Linked DNA regions of Macaca fascicularis. The protein of the gene in region 3 binds, or shares a complex with, the protein of the main gene of each other region. Links are inferred from orthologs where the notes say so. Each region holds a gene or a part of one and is shown on either strand. Other genes may lie near its edges.

Region 1 (4,127 bases), on a different chromosome or scaffold from region 3:
TGAAATCCAGAGATCCCACTATATTCTCTTATTTTCTTTTACAAGCGCCAGTAACTTCATTTTTAAGAATTTGGCGTGGAACTGTGATTTTCAGTTTGGGAAGTAATCCTAATCAAAAGACATGCTTTCAAGAATGAGGCATGGCATCATTATACCAATTACCCAGCGTGCAGAATAATATTTCTTAAGGAAATCGAATTGTCGTGGACAAACACTGTTTACCCCCTTCAGAGGACAAAAGAAGGTAGGTCTATATTTAGCCTTTCGCAAAACCTCAGTTCCATAAAGGAAGCACTGATCTCCACAAATCCATTATCACAAACAAAATATAATGGTTGTCGGTCAAAATAAATGCAAGCTGCATATGTTTTCCAGAAAAGTTCTGACATGAGGCTTAACCTGAAATCCTGGGAAAGGCAGGTGAAGGACAATTAGAGAAGGTGTCCCTTGTTGTGCGCAAAGACAGGAAAACTTCTCCCTCACTACCCTTCACCTATGTTTGAGGGAGCTCCATGCGCTTGCAATCAGGAGACCCAGTTCTACGACTCTGTGACTTTTTTTCTTTTTCCTGTCCGATCATAGAGGAATCAGGGCCTTGGGAACATTTCCCCCCCCCCCCCCCCCCCGCCAAATGCAAAGGATTTTGGCATTAGCACAGGTGAAGGCATTAAGACGCAGCGAGCAGCAATGACTTGCCCAAACTCACAGCCCATGGCATAACTAGAATGCAAATCCAGGTCCGTCAGGCTGTAAAAGTCCTCACTACTAGCCTTTCAGTTTTCTCAAAAGCAAAGAGAGAAATAACGACGACATCCACACTGCAGTGTTCCCGGAAACTTGGAAGGATGAGATTCGGACCAAGCAGCCAGCTGAACGGTGCTTCCTAAAGCGAGGAAGGAGTGTGCAAAATGAGTTCCCCCTAAGCGGAGACGAAGAGCTGGACTGCAGCCCCCGCCCCAGAAAGCCCCTAAGCCCTCCATCCCGAGTCCCCCGTCCAGGCTGCACGCGACGCTGGAGACCTCCCCAGGGCCAGCACGGCCCAGCGGGGAGGTGAAAGGGGCCATGCAAAAATGGGGCGCGCTCATCCCATCCCCACTCACCTGTCAGCCGGGCCGCGCCAGCGGCGCACGCGCAGGGCAGGAGGTTGCGCGCGGAGTCGGCACCCAGGTTCCACCCCTCCCTCACGGCGGCGGTCCTCTTCTATCCCCAGTCCCGGACCTGGAACGGGTCAGAGCCGGGCTTCCGCCCCTGACTTCCAGGACGGTCACATGACCGAAGCGGCGGTGAGCAGGGAGGGGCATCATGTGACCACTCGCCGGCGACGGATGATGACGCAAGAGCCCGCGCTCACTTTTCAGCTACAGGCGAAGGGGGCTGAGGAAAGGAGGTGGGTACAAGTAGGGAAAGTTGGGGTGCCACCAGACGGAGACAACTCGGACAACCAGGTAGGGAAGAAGCGGGGGACGGCAATGGGGAAGGTGGCGGGAATTGTCGCCTCCCTCAGGGACACTCCACGGGGACCCCGAGCCGGGAATTCGTCGACCTGGATTATGGTTGTGGCCCTTTTCACGCCACAGTAGTGAGTCTGGGACAGTTTACCCTCCTGTCCGAGGCGCCATCTCTCCATCCGTTAGCCACAAGTGTGTAAGGGCAAGATCACGAATTTTTGATCCAAATAGATGTGGTTTGAACTGACTTTAAAAGTAAGGCCACGGGAAGGTCGTTTGAATAAACTCTCTGGACCTCAGTTTCCTCTTCACTTATGTAGATTGCAGTGAGAATTAGCGATAAGGAGAATGAAGTGCCAGGACACCAGTTTATGGCATTCTGTAGGTGACCGAGAAATGATGATGTCTGTTGTTATTTTTGTAACTCGCCAAATCTTTATTGGTCCCCTATTTTGTGTGAAGAACTGCTTTATATGCAATAGAATATGTCAGGGTTCTAGTTTAAGGAGCTTTCAGTGTAAAGAAGCTGCAGACATGTGAGCAAATAGTTGTGATGAGTTTCATAATGGGAGTGTGTTGTGTACATGTGCATGTGATAGGAATAATGGTAGCATGGGGGAGGGAACAAGCAATTGTATGAGAAGGATTCAGAGAGAAGGGTATAGCCTTGCATGCTGAAAAAGGAGAGGCAGCTCTGGCTGACTTGTACAAGGTTCCCGTGGATTTAAAGGAAGTCAGCATATTGTCTATAAATAACATGCAGAGAAAAAACTCAGGAAATGCACAACTTGTTCTAAACTTTCTTGGAGATCATAGGTATTGGGAAGAAAAGATCAGTGTTATTACATGGGAAGGGATCCAAGAGAGATTGATTTAAATCAGTTATTCTCAACTGATGCGCTATTGACATTTTAGGCCAGATAATTTTTTCCTGTGGGGTGGGGGTGAGGGCTGTCCTGTGTATTGTAGGACGTTTGAGAGTATCCCTGGCCTCTGCCCACTAGATGCCAACCATAATGTCTACAGATATTGCTACATGTCCCTTGGGAGAGGGGTAAAATCTTTCTTGGTTGAGAACCACTTAAACCAAGCCATGAGAGATGGTGTCTTAGTCAGTGTGGGCTTCTATAACAAAATGCCATAAACTAGGTAGTTTACGAACAACGGAAATTTATTTCTCACAGTTCTGGAGGCTGGAAAGTCCAAGGTCAGGGTGCCAGCAGATTTAGTGTCTCGCAAGGGCCTGTTTCCTGGTTCATAGGTGGCTTCTTGCTGTGTCCTCACACGGTGGAATGGCAAAGCAGCTCTCTGGAGCATCTTCTAAAAGGGCACTAATTTTATTCATGAAAGTGGGCCTAATCGCCTCCCAAAAGGCCCCACCTCCTCATACCATCACCTTAGGAGTTAGGATTTCAACATATAAATTTTGGGTGACACAAACATTCAGACTTTAGCATATGGGTAAGATGTGGGCAGATAGAAAACTGAAGAAAGAGCCTGGTACGGTGGCTCACACCTGTAATCCCAGCACTTTGGGAGGCCAAGGAGGGCGGATCACTTGAGGTGGGGTGTTTTGAGACTAACCTGGTCAACATAGCGAAACCCTGTCTCTACTAAAAATACAATAAATAAATAAATAAATAAATAAATAAATAAATAAAATAACCAGTGTGTTCTGGCGCACACCTGTAATCCCAGCTACTCAGGAGGCTGAGGCAGGAGAATCCCTTGAACCCAGGAAGCAGAGGTTGAGGTGAGCCGAGATCATGCCACTGCACTCCAGCTTGGACGACAGAGCGAAACTCTGTCTCAAAAAATAAATAAATAAAAAGAAAGAAAACTGAAGAGATGGTTTTCTCATGGTGGGAGCAGGATGAACAAAGTCCTTTTTTCCTTTTTGGAGACAGCGTCTCACTCTTATTGCCCAGGCTAGAGTGCAGTAGCATGATCATAGCTTACTGCAGCCTTGGACTCCTGGACCCAAGGGGTCCTCCCACCTCGGCCTCCCAAGGGGCTAGGACAATAGGTGCAAGCCACCATGTCTGTGTTGTTTGGTTTTTTTTTTTTGAGATGGGGTCTCGCTGTGTTGCCCAGGCTAGTCTTGAGCTCCTGGCCTCAAGCAGTCTTCCTGCCTTGCCCTTTCAAAGTGCTGGGATTATAGGCATGAGCCACCGCGCCCAGCCTGAACAAAGTCTGGAGGTGAGTTCAAGAATATTGAGTATGAAGGGGAGAAGGAAACACGAGAGCTGTGCATCTGACCGAAGCAGTTTATTCATTTATTGATAGTTTCAGAGCACTTGCTGTTTATGAAGCACTGCGAACATCTTGCAAGATAGTTACTAACAAAGTAGAGTTACTGCCAAAGGCTATAATTATATCAAAGAGGATGCTGTTAGAGTCAGAGAAAGGAGTTGTCTTTGACTTGTACTTAGCTGTATTTATTGGGAGGAATTGAGAAAAGTATGTCTATTCCATCTTTCTGCACCATCCATTGTCTTTGCTTTTCAATTCAGTCTGTCTTAATCTTTTCCCTACTCCAGAATTACAGAAAAGCATGGTCATGTTTTCCTTGGTCCTCTGCAAGAGTGAAGTTTCACTCAAGTAATGTGAGTTTTGCATTCAACCAAGTAGTGACAACTACTGTTTGGTATATACTTTCCATTTATACTGGATTGCATT
Region 2 (3,367 bases), on a different chromosome or scaffold from region 3:
TTTAATAAGGTTGTGTTTGATGCTATTATTCAGATAATGTGTTCTAAATTGCTTTCCTTTGAATATATTTGCATTAAAGAGGAACTCGATTTGGTTCTTTGAAGAGTTTATCCACTTTCTGGGTAGCTTTAAAAAGACACAGGGAAATTCAGTTTCTTCTTTGCAAGTCAATAAATAGAGAAGAAACAAATTTGCTAAGATCTGTAGAAGTAATGGCAGCAGATTGCTGATGGTTTGAGTTAATGAAATGACTCATTTTGGCTACTTGAGTTGCACAATTAAAATATACATAGACTGCACACATCATAGATGAGGGATAAATACCCCTGTGTTCTCTTTTCTTTCTCAAAGCTAATATATTATGAATTAAGAAATTTAAGAGATCCACATTATTGCAATTCTTGATCAGTGATGCCCAAAATTAAGTGGTAATCTCTTGAGAGTGCACGTTTGCAGCATTCCTCTTACGCATTTCTGCTAAAATTGTGGCTGTGAGCTGAAGGCAGTTGTTTTCCAAAGGATAAACTCATTTGACCAAGCTAAAACATTTACTTAATATTGACAAATTTTGTGGGGTTTTCTCATAGTTGTCTAGCTAAAGGAGTTTAATGCAGAGAATACACATACGGAAATAGTGAAACCGAAGTCCTGCTTGCGCGGAAAGCCTGCAGCAGACTTTTGTTTTTAACAAACTCCACGGGGCATTAGAGAAAGTAACTGGGGGCAGTGGGTTGGAGGGTATAAAATTGAGCGGAGGGACGAAAACTAAGAGCCCTCTGGGTTTTTTATATCCTTCTACATGTTGTGTAGAAATAAATGCTTTTACTTCCACGGTCGTACCTTCCTCTTCACCTTTTTTTTTTTCTTTCTCACACATTCATCCTGTGAGATCTTTTCATTTACAAATGCTCCCGATTTAGAATTAGAAACTCATAATACCGTCTGTAAAACTTGCCTGAGCCTGTCTGGTCCTGAATTTAGCGACACACTTGTTTAGGAGTTTCGGTTCTCGTTCTCTGCTTGCATGGTTTAGTAAGAACAACACTTCGCTATACTGAAATTCACCGACCAGACCTGCAGGGCTGCACAGAAATCTCGGATGCTTTTGGTACCCCCAGCCCCGCAGCCGCGCAGGCGCACCGCCCAGCCGCCGTGACGCAAGGCGCAGGCTTCATGACGCGGCACGCAGTCTCAGCCGACACTGCGCGCCCCTTCTGGGGCCCCGCCCAGGCAGCGGCCTTAGCGGGTCGCCGACCCGCGATCCCAGCCGCGGCTGCTTGCTTGCCGGAGTGTGCACCGGTACGCGTCGCCGGTGACATGTTGCAAAAACCGAGGAACCGGGGTCGCTCTGGCGGCCAGGCCGAGAGGGACAGCGACTGGAGCCGTGGCGGAAACTCCGGGGCCTCGCGGGCGGGCGAACACGCCCGGGCCCGCAGAGACGGCTTCGCAGAGGAGGCCCCGAGCACTTCCCGGGGGCCGGGCGGCTCGCAGGGGTCGCAGGGCGCCCGCCGGTCCCAGGCCTCCCCCGCCGTGGGCCCCAGGACCCAGAAGCAGCAGGAGCTGAAAGTGTCCGAGCTGGTGCAGTTCTTACTGATTAAGGACCAGAAGAAGATTCCGATCAAGCGGGCCGACATACTGAAGCACGTCATCGGGGACTACAAGGACATCTTCCCCGACCTCCTCAAACGGGCCGCCGAGCGCCTCCAGTACGTCTTCGGTTATAAGCTGGTGGAACTTGAACCCAAGAGCAACACTTACATCCTCATCAACACCCTGGAGCCGGTGGAGGAGGATGCCGAGGTGAGGGGTGACCAAGGCACGCCCACTACGGGCCTCCTGATGATCGTCCTGGGGCTCATCTTTATGAAGGGCAACACCGTCAAGGAGACTGAAGTCTGGGACTTTCTGCGGCGCTTAGGGGTCTACCCCACCAAGAAGCATTTCATTTTCGGAGATCCAAAGAAACTCATTACCGAGGACTTTGTGCGACAACGTTACCTGGAATACCGGCGGATACCCCACACCGACCCCGTGGACTACGAGTTCCAGTGGGGCCCGCGAACCAACCTGGAAACCAGCAAGATGAAAGTTCTTAAGTTTGTGGCCAAAGTCCATAATCAAGACCCCAAGGACTGGCCAGCGCAGTACTGTGAGGCGTTGGCAGATGAGGAGAACAGGGCCAGACCTCAGCCCAGTGGCTCAGCCCCATCCTCTTGAAATCTGAGGTGGATTCAGAGGGACCCCCGGGACAAGGGTCTGAGACCCAAAGGCACAGTGCAGAGGAGCGGGGGAAGGGAGAACGAACCCAGGAAGCGTATTTCTGTAGCGTTTCAATGTGTGTAGCTTTAGGATGTGTTTGCAAAGTTTTGTTCTTTTAATGTTGTGTTATTTGGTTCCAGATTTTCATCTATAAACAAAGGAGCATTTGTTTTGCTTTGATTTTACTTTTTTTGGTATAAAAAATTTTCCTAGCTTAGTAAAACGAATTGGAAAACTTGACTATGATCTGAAACAGATATGCCAGAAGGAACACATAAGTAAGTTGCTTTGGTGCCAAGAAAATAAAAAAGTAGCTATTATCGGGTCTCTTAAGCATCCCAGTTTGTAAGGAAAAATAAAAGTCTTTATAAAATTAAAAATAAAAACGTAATTGCCTATATCCTTATTACCTTAACCTATTTTATTTTTTCTATATTTCCTACATATGTAAGTATTATTCATGGTTCCAAGCAATGAACGTGGTGTATTTTCTCCAAATAGCAATTGTTTATATTCATAATTACTCAGCTGTGTTGCTAAACATGCAGTTCCACTTAGTTTTTTTTACATGCTACTCTAGTTATTACAATAAATACTGTATTTTTGAAGCACTGAAGCATTGTGTGTTTTTTAAATCGTGGGCCATGAGACAATTTCATGACGAAATCAGCGTCTTAAAGTTTTTGCAACATATTGAGGTCAATGTTGTTTTGTAGAAGTTGTTTTACTTTTGTGTGTGTGTGTACAGGATCATGAGGTAAAATATATTTCTACTGTGGATACCAAAAAGGCTTATAAAACAATAGCGTAACCATTAACCATGCCTGCTTGGGAATCAGACTGCCTGGGTTCAGATCCTGGCCCCACCGTCACTAGTATAGGAATTTACGTAGGTTCCTTAGTTTGTATGCAGATGTTTCTTGACCTGTAAAATGGGTTTAGTCCCTGATGTGGAGGAATTTGCTTGTTATTCTTTAATGTTTTTATTTTTTATTCTCGGTCTGGAGCTGCCACTTTTTAAATACAACTTTTCTTTATCTTGTTTTCCAAATGATTCCTAGGAGAGCAATTACTGGTTCAAAAGGTATATTCCGCTAGTCTGACTCTA
Region 3 (3,500 bases):
CTTTCTTATGTATAACATCAAATATAGACACTGTAAGGGAAGATTGGTGGATCTCTCTGTCAGTTAAACAGACCAAAACTGCCACATCCACCTACAAGGGTGCCGTGGTAGGACAGGCGGCAAGGGAACAGAGAAGAGCAGGCTCTTGTAGTCGTTCTTTAAAGTCTGGTTGCCTTTAATAGGGTTAAGCTCCCCGAGGGTCTTGTGATTATTGTTTATATATGATATTGCCATTATAACTGCATAACTTCTAGGCATTTTACAGTGTAATGTAATAAAAATGGACTTTCATAAGAGTAAATTCAATATAACACATTTTCTGTAAGACAGTTTGAGATGAAAGAATTATTTGACTTCCGTCTACTCTTCCCAGGAAGGGAATTTTAAGATGAGCCATTCTCTCAGTAATGCCGGGCCACTGCTCTCTGGATATACTGCGATACAAGCTGAATAGAGATTTGTAGGACGTTTGCAAAAAATTAAAATCTGAACACCAGCCGAACTTGCTGGTGCTGTCGTGAAGCTTTTGATTTGGGATTTAATTTTATATTTGTATGCTAGTGCAGCTTTACTAATACATGAACTATTGGCGATACAGAAATTCCCAGGGGGCTGAGTTCCGGCGTACCTAAATCACTCTGCCTGCCAGTGGGCTAGAGTAGGGTTTCTCAGCACTGACACTATTGATTGACATTTGGAGCTGGGCATGTCTTTGTTTTGGGGGCCGGTACTGTGCATTGTATGATATTCAGCAGCTTCCGTGGCCTCTACCCAGTAGATGCCAGTAGCATATCAGTTGTGACACCCAAAAATATCTCCAGGTATTGCCAAAAGACCCCTGTGGGCAAGTATACCCAGGTTGAGAACCACTAGTCTAAATCATTTCACTTTCTCACCCAAAGGTTTTAAGTACATTGAGGAATATTTTCTGCCAAAAAGAAGGTAGCTTTGAAAAGAGGACTTTAACTGTAAAATTATCTTTACAATGAGAAATTTAGCCAGCATATTAAGACAGTGAAAGCAGGCTTTGCGTCTGGCCTCTTAAAGGTTGAGTGATGCAGATTATTGGATGTGGACAATGATTGCATGTGGCTTAACTGGGTTTTTTGTTTTCCTTCATTTTTGTAGCTCACACATATGGGTGTAAATCCGCTAGAAGCTGAAGAACTTATCCGTGATGAAGATAGTCCTGATTTTGAATTCATCGTCTATGACTCCTGGAAAATATCAGGCAAAACAGCAGAAAACACCTTTAATAAAACCCATACATTCCACTTTCTGTAAGATTATTTTAAAAATCCAACAGACCAGCTATTTGTGAACCTTAAATTGTTTTTTGTTGTAGGGACAAAGATTATTTGGTATTGTAGAGGTGACAGTCATGATGCCGTTGTTTGGAGACTTGAAACTTTGATATAAAAGTTCATAAACACTACTCCGGGCATGGTGGCTCACGCCTTTAATCCCGGCACTTTGGGAGGTGGATACAGGTAGATCATCTGAGCTCAGGAATTCAAGATCAGCCTGGGCAACATGGCGAGAACCCATCTCTACCAAAAATACAAAAAATTAGCCCGCTGTGGTGGCCCATGCCTGTGGTCCTGGCTACTTGGGAGGCTGAGGTGGGAGGATCACTTGAGCCTGGGAGGCAGAGATTGCAGTGAGCTGAGATGGTGCCACTGCACTCTGGCCTGGGTGACAGAGTGAGACCCTGTCTCAAAAAAAAGAAAAGTCCATAAACTCTAGATGTGGGTGGAACCTTAAAGGATCTCTCATTCTGCTTTAGCAGAAAAGGCCAGAACCTCTTTACCAGTGTTCTCTCCTGGCTCCTTTGCTTCTAGCTCATGAGGCTCTGGGTTTATCATCTTTAAAATCCTTACCATATAGGAGGATGATACCTCCTACTGAGGGTATCTTACAAGTCTCCTAATGTCTAAAATGACATGTATTATAATACCCTGTTGGATGACCACTGACTTGTATTTGAAGATTACTTGTCACTGCCACATAAACTGCCCTGTTCATTTTTTTTTTTTTTTTTTTTTTTTTTTTTTTTTTGAGACGGAGTCTCACGCTGTTGCCCAGGCTAGAGTGCAGTGGCGTGATCTCGGCTCACTGCAAGCTCCGCCTCCTGGGTTCACGCCATTCTCCTGCCTCAGCCTCCTGAGTAGCTGGGACTACAGGCGCCCGCCACCGCGCCCGGCTAATTTTTTGTATTTTTAGTAGAGACGGGGTTTCACTGTGGTTTCGATCTCCTGACCTTGTGATCCGCCCACCTCGGCCTCCCAAAGTGCTGGGATTACAGGCTTGAGCCACCGCGCCCGGCCTTTTTTTTTTTTTTTTTTTTGAGACGGAGTCTCGCTCTGTCGCCCAGGCTGGAGTGCAGTGGCCCGATCTCGGCTCACTGCAAGCTCCGCCTCCCGGGTTCACGCCATTCTCCTGCCTCAGCCTCCCGAGTAGCTGGGACTACAGGCGCCCACAACCGCGCCCGGCTAATTTTTTGTATTTTTAGTAGAGACGGGGTTTCACCGTGGTCTCGATCTCCTGACCTTGTGATCCGCCCGCCTCGGCCTCCCAAAGTGCTGGGATTACAGGCGTGAGCCACCGCGCCCGGCTGCCCTGTTCATTTTTTAGATAGAACTCTGATTTTAAAAAAAGATTTCTTCATATTCGAATGAAGTTGGCTTCTGTCTTAACTTCCTGGCATGGTCCTATGGAACAGCTCTTACTGGCTCTTCTCTAAGAGGACCTTCAAGTATATTGGTTTTGTTGCCCAGTAGATACTTTCTCTAGGGGTAGCCATCTGAGTTGTTCAGTCCTCCTTTAAGTGGTATAGCTCCTGGGCATTTGTCTTTTCTAATTTGTCTTTTTAAAAACCTTTGAGATTGGTAATGGCTCGGGTAGAAGGCCTTGGAGATGCCAAAGTAGTAGTGTGGTGTGGGATCTGGCATCTATTTTTAGTAAGACTTCAGGTAACTCAGGTGCCCAGAGCCATTTGTGTATGTTCTATTTAATAGGATACCGACGAAACTTCTTTATCTTAACGATAAAGTCTAAATCTTTGTTTTTTGCTATCGTACTAAACTCATAAATCCTAGGTTATAAAGATAAAGCCTTAAACTTTATCTCATCATCCAGCCCAATTTCCAGCCACAATGAAGTACTTAAAACTGTGTCTTTGTACTTGCTGTTCTCTTGGCCTCCAATTCCTTTTCATCTTTCCCATTCGGTAAAGTTTGTTTATCCAGCAGGCCCCATCTTGGAAGCCTCCAGCAACTTCTCCAGACAGAGATGTTAGCAGTGTAGGATCAGATTTCCCAACCACGTCACTCCCATGTCTGGGTAGATATTTCTGCCCAGGTGTTCTCACAGCACTTGAGCAGTACTCTCTAAGCACCCAGGATCTACCATGTTACTTTTTTAAAATTTGATTAATTTATTTTTTGATACTGCTCCTTGTGGAGCAGGAGTGTGCCCAGAGTAACCCACCATGTGATGCT
Region 4 (4,061 bases), on a different chromosome or scaffold from region 3:
CTGAATAGTTCCTTCTGGCTTTGAGTCCTTCCTCCTTTCACCCTTAAAAGCAGGCATTCTCCCAAGACCCTGTACATGGTCTTCTAGTCCTTCAATTTATAATTCCTATTGAGCAATCATAACCAGTTCTGCAACTTCATCAATCACCTGTATGCATGACTCCCAAATCTCTCATCCGTTCATACTTTCCTCTAAGCTCCAGACTCTTATATTCTGCCTATAGAACATCTCTCTTAGATACTCCAAAGGAAACTTCAAATCACAGGATCTAAGAGGCATTTATTATTCTCCTCAAACTGCTCTCTCTTCTGAATAGCATCTGACCAATTAGCTAAGGCAAACACCTGGGAAAAATGCTGCATTCCTCCCTTTCCCCCATGCCTCAATTATTCTGTAGCTGGATCCTGCCAAATCTCATTCCTTCACACTCTGATCATCTCTTGCCTTCGTATTGTCTTTTTGCTTCCAATCTTGCACCCTTTCTAAATCATCCTCCGCAGTGCTTCCAGAATAACATAAAACACATGTCATTCCCTGTTGAAAACACACCGTGGCTGCCTACAGGATGCTGCTGGAACTTCTTAGCATAGTAAACATACAGGTCTCTCAATGGTTGCTTACCCTGTCCAAATACTCACTCACATCCTATACTCTTGCCTTACTAAAACACTTGACACTTTCTAAATATACCAAACTATTTCAGACCGTTCCTTCTGTCTTCAATGCTCTTCACTTCTTTTAAGACTTTCCTATCTTCTCAGGCGGGTGCAGTGGCTCACGCCTGTAATCCCAGCACTTTGGGAGGCCGAGGTGAGTTGCTTGAGCCCAGAAGTTCGAGACTTGCCTGGGCAACATGGTGACACCCCATCTCTACAAAAAATTTTTAAAACATTAGCCAGGTATGGTATGCGCCTATAGTCCCAGCTACCTGAAAGGCTGAGGTAGGAGGATCACTTGAGAAGGGGAGGTACAGGCTTCACTGAGCCCTGATCATGCCACTGAGCTCCAGCGTGGGCAACAGAGCAAGAACAAAGACTTTCATATCTTCTCTACAAAGCCCTTTCTCATACTCGTGGACAAAACTAACCACTTCATCCTTTGTGAAGGATCCTGATATATATGTTGTTATGGTATCTAACTCATTTGATTACATTTATCTTTCCTGATCTGGATTCAAATAGCAATGCAACTACTTAACAGCTGTGTAAAACTGGGCAAAACAACCTACTGAGCTTCTTTCAGCAATGGAAATTATCAAGATAGAGTTGTTATGAAGAAAGAATGAGTGCACTGTGTACCTGGCACACAACAGGTGCCTGAAAACAAAAAAGGTAGTATTGTTAAAATACAATTCTGTTATCCTTATGCCACTATGTGCAAGTTTAAAAAAGACTTCAGGGCGGACACGGTGGCTCACGCCTATAATCCCAGCACCATGGGGGCGTGCAGATCCCCTGAAGTCAAAAGTTCCAGATCAGCCTGGTCAGCATGGTGAAACCCCGTGTCTACTAAAAATACAACAACAACAACAAAAAAATTGCTGGGCGTGGTGGGGGGTGCCTGTAATCCCAGCTACTCGGTGAGGCAGGAGAATCGCTTGAAACTGGGAGGCGGAGGTTGCAGTGGGCCGAGATTGCGCCACTATCCTCCAGCCCGGACGACAGTATGAGATTCCGTCTCAAAAACAAAAATTAGCCGGGCGTGGTGGCGCGCACCTACAGTCCCAGCTACTCGGGAGGCTGACCCAGGAGCCTGAAACCGAGAGGCAGAAGTTGCAGCGGGCCGAGGTAGCGCCACAGCACTCCATCCACCGTGGGCGACAAGAGCGAAACTCCGTCTCAAAAAAAAAAAAAAAGACGACTTGGAACAGATTCACTGTGAGGTGCTAGACAAATACATGATATATTTAAAACTTACTAAATTCTAAAGTGATAACTAGTTGTCTGAAGGAGAGAGGGAGGAACCAGGGAAGAAAGCTGGGTTTAGAGGGGTCAAGGGTCAAGATCCAACAATTGCCAGGAAGGTTTAATTTTTTTGTACTTGTAACCTCCCATCCCAAACAACCTTTACCGTCTTATCTACTCCTCTGTGGCAAATGCCTACCCTAAGAATCTGCCACAGCATCCCCACCACGCCGAATTAACTGTTGCCTCCTCGTAAATTCCCGGGGACAATACTTCTGTGAATTACAGACCAGGGCCGCTATGGATCGCGACTCCCAGCGGGCAGAGACCTACTCCCTCGTACAACTACTACCTGCTACAAGACGCTTTTGGAAAACCTTGGCGGACTAAATTTAAAAACCACATCACGTAAGGCACACATCTACATCATACACGTCAATCTCCACAGCCTTCGTAGAAAAATCCTCATGGGAACCCCGGCACGAATTCAAGGCCAGACCCACAAGCCAGGTACACACCCACACGCCCACGCCCGCGCGCAGCCGGCGCCCCGGGGCCTGCTGGACCGCACGCCTCCACACCCGCGGCGCGGCCTCCCGGCCACTCACAGGAAGTTCTCCATCGAGATACGGACGATAGAGCCCTCCACGAAAGGCCCGGACGACTGCACCAGCGGCAGCTGCGGGGCCGGATTCTTCCTCTTGCTCGGGACCTCCGACGAAGGGTCTCTCGGGAGAGCTCTCTTGGAAGCCTGGGGGCTTGGAGTTGACGTCTTCTTGCTTGGAGTCGCCATCCTGGCTTTCTCAGCGCCCCACAGCGACTTCCGTTCCCACCGTCCGGCAGCCCAGGCGCCCAAGCGCCCCAGCGCCCGGCTCCCGCGCGAACTGCCGCGAACTGCTCCCGCGCGCTCGCTCCCGCGATCTCGCGCCGCGCCTGCTCAGTTCAGATCCGGAGCGTCAGCGGGCCCACCCAGCGCCTCCTGCTCTCCGCCTCGCAGAACTAGGGCCCGACTAAGGGCGGAGCAGCAGACGGGACTGAGTGGGGACCTCGGGGGACGTGGCAACGGGAGTTTCTTCTCTGTATATTTCAGCATTCAGATCCTTTTTTGTTTTTTTTCCACTCAGGAAAAGATGTCAATTGCATTTAGTATTTTGAAAGCCACTTTATTGCTTCCCGAGCCTCAGTCATGTGTGGTGGGAGGCAGCTGTGGGGGGCACCAGGGGCGTCCAGGGCCGCCAAGGCCAGGGGTACGTTAGGCCCTGCTTGCTCCCACCCCTTCCAGGTGCCCACCTGAGAGCTCCCGGGCACGCCCATCCTTGGCTCTTCGTCCTCTTGGTTTTCTTCCCCGTTGCTTCAAATCAGGTCCCTGTCTCAAAAACCCCGAAAAAGAAATACTCTCAAATAACTCTGCCCGACGCTCCGTGAAGGCATCGTGCTAGGCGTTCTCAAACTCGTGGAACGACTACACTGCACAGGTTATCCTCATTGCTTCTCTGCTCCTTGCTTCCTAATTCTCTGGTTAAACTTCCGCCCCCGAGGTTTCTAGAAATCCCTGAGCTAGAATGCGCAGCCTTCATTAACAGGGTGGTTCTGCTTCCGTCTGCTCACATTCATCTAGTAAGCCCTCGCTTTAAAGAGGAGGCGGCGCACCGAGGCCTGCCTAGATCTTTCCTTCAACTAATAATGAGTGTCTAACCTACAAGAAACTGGAGCCGTGGCAGTTTAGAAGCCTGCCAAGGTTGCATCCCTGGGAACTTATTTTCTGTTGTGGGAGACAGGAAAAGAACAAGTGAATCAACTGAAATTAAAAAATTCCAACTTAAAGCTGTTGGAACTTGAAATTATTCAGAGCCTTGCGAAGAATGTGGCTACGGGGCCTGAGTCCTATGGCGTACAGCTGCAATGTCTGCCTTGTTTTTTCCTGTAAATAATCAGGAAGACCAAACAGAGACAGAGGTAAGACCCCCTCAGATCACTATCCCTCTTCATAGATTAATATAGTTATCCTCCTTGGAATGGAGATATCTATAACTAATCTAGTCGCTGTGTTTTATGCTTTGGTCTTGTATTGAAAATGTACTCCTGCTGAACCTTCTCTGCTTCTGCCTACGTAAATGAAACCTTAACTTCACTTTGGAACATTGACCTTATTTGTTT

Evidence for each region.
Region 1: NSMCE4A (region 3) and NSMCE2 share a complex: the UniProt entries of both Homo sapiens proteins name them as parts of the SMC5-SMC6 complex. The link is inferred for Macaca fascicularis from reciprocal best matches to the Homo sapiens genes NSMCE4A and NSMCE2.
Region 2: NSMCE4A (region 3) and NSMCE3 share a complex: the UniProt entries of both Homo sapiens proteins name them as parts of the SMC5-SMC6 complex. The link is inferred for Macaca fascicularis from reciprocal best matches to the Homo sapiens genes NSMCE4A and NSMCE3.
Region 4: NSMCE4A (region 3) and SMC5 share a complex: the UniProt entries of both Homo sapiens proteins name them as parts of the SMC5-SMC6 complex. The link is inferred for Macaca fascicularis from reciprocal best matches to the Homo sapiens genes NSMCE4A and SMC5.

What each region holds. Positions count from the first base shown.
Region 1 is NC_088382.1:134,752,777-134,756,903, forward strand, and holds the start of NSMCE2 (E3 SUMO-protein ligase NSE2), read left to right. Parts: upstream 1-1,327; 5' UTR 1,328-1,445; intron 1,446-4,127. UniProt on the Homo sapiens protein: E3 SUMO-protein ligase component of the SMC5-SMC6 complex, a complex involved in DNA double-strand break repair by homologous recombination. Is not be required for the stability of the complex.
Region 2 is NC_088381.1:8,207,343-8,210,709, forward strand, and holds NSMCE3 (non-structural maintenance of chromosomes element 3 homolog), read left to right. Parts: upstream 1-1,203; 5' UTR 1,204-1,317; coding exon 1,318-2,217; 3' UTR 2,218-2,867; downstream 2,868-3,367. UniProt on the Homo sapiens protein: Component of the SMC5-SMC6 complex, a complex involved in repair of DNA double-strand breaks by homologous recombination. The complex may promote sister chromatid homologous recombination by recruiting the SMC1-SMC3 cohesin complex to double-strand breaks.
Region 3 is NC_088383.1:130,961,820-130,965,319, reverse strand, and holds part of NSMCE4A (non-structural maintenance of chromosomes element 4 homolog A), read left to right. Parts: intron 1-1,128; coding exon 1,129-1,280; intron 1,281-3,500. UniProt on the Homo sapiens protein: Component of the SMC5-SMC6 complex, a complex involved in DNA double-strand breaks by homologous recombination. The complex may promote sister chromatid homologous recombination by recruiting the SMC1-SMC3 cohesin complex to double-strand breaks.
Region 4 is NC_088389.1:100,953,177-100,957,237, reverse strand, and holds the start of SMC5 (structural maintenance of chromosomes protein 5), read right to left. Parts: upstream 2,801-4,061; 5' UTR 2,698-2,800; coding exon 2,513-2,697; intron 1-2,512. UniProt on the Homo sapiens protein: Core component of the SMC5-SMC6 complex, a complex involved in repair of DNA double-strand breaks by homologous recombination.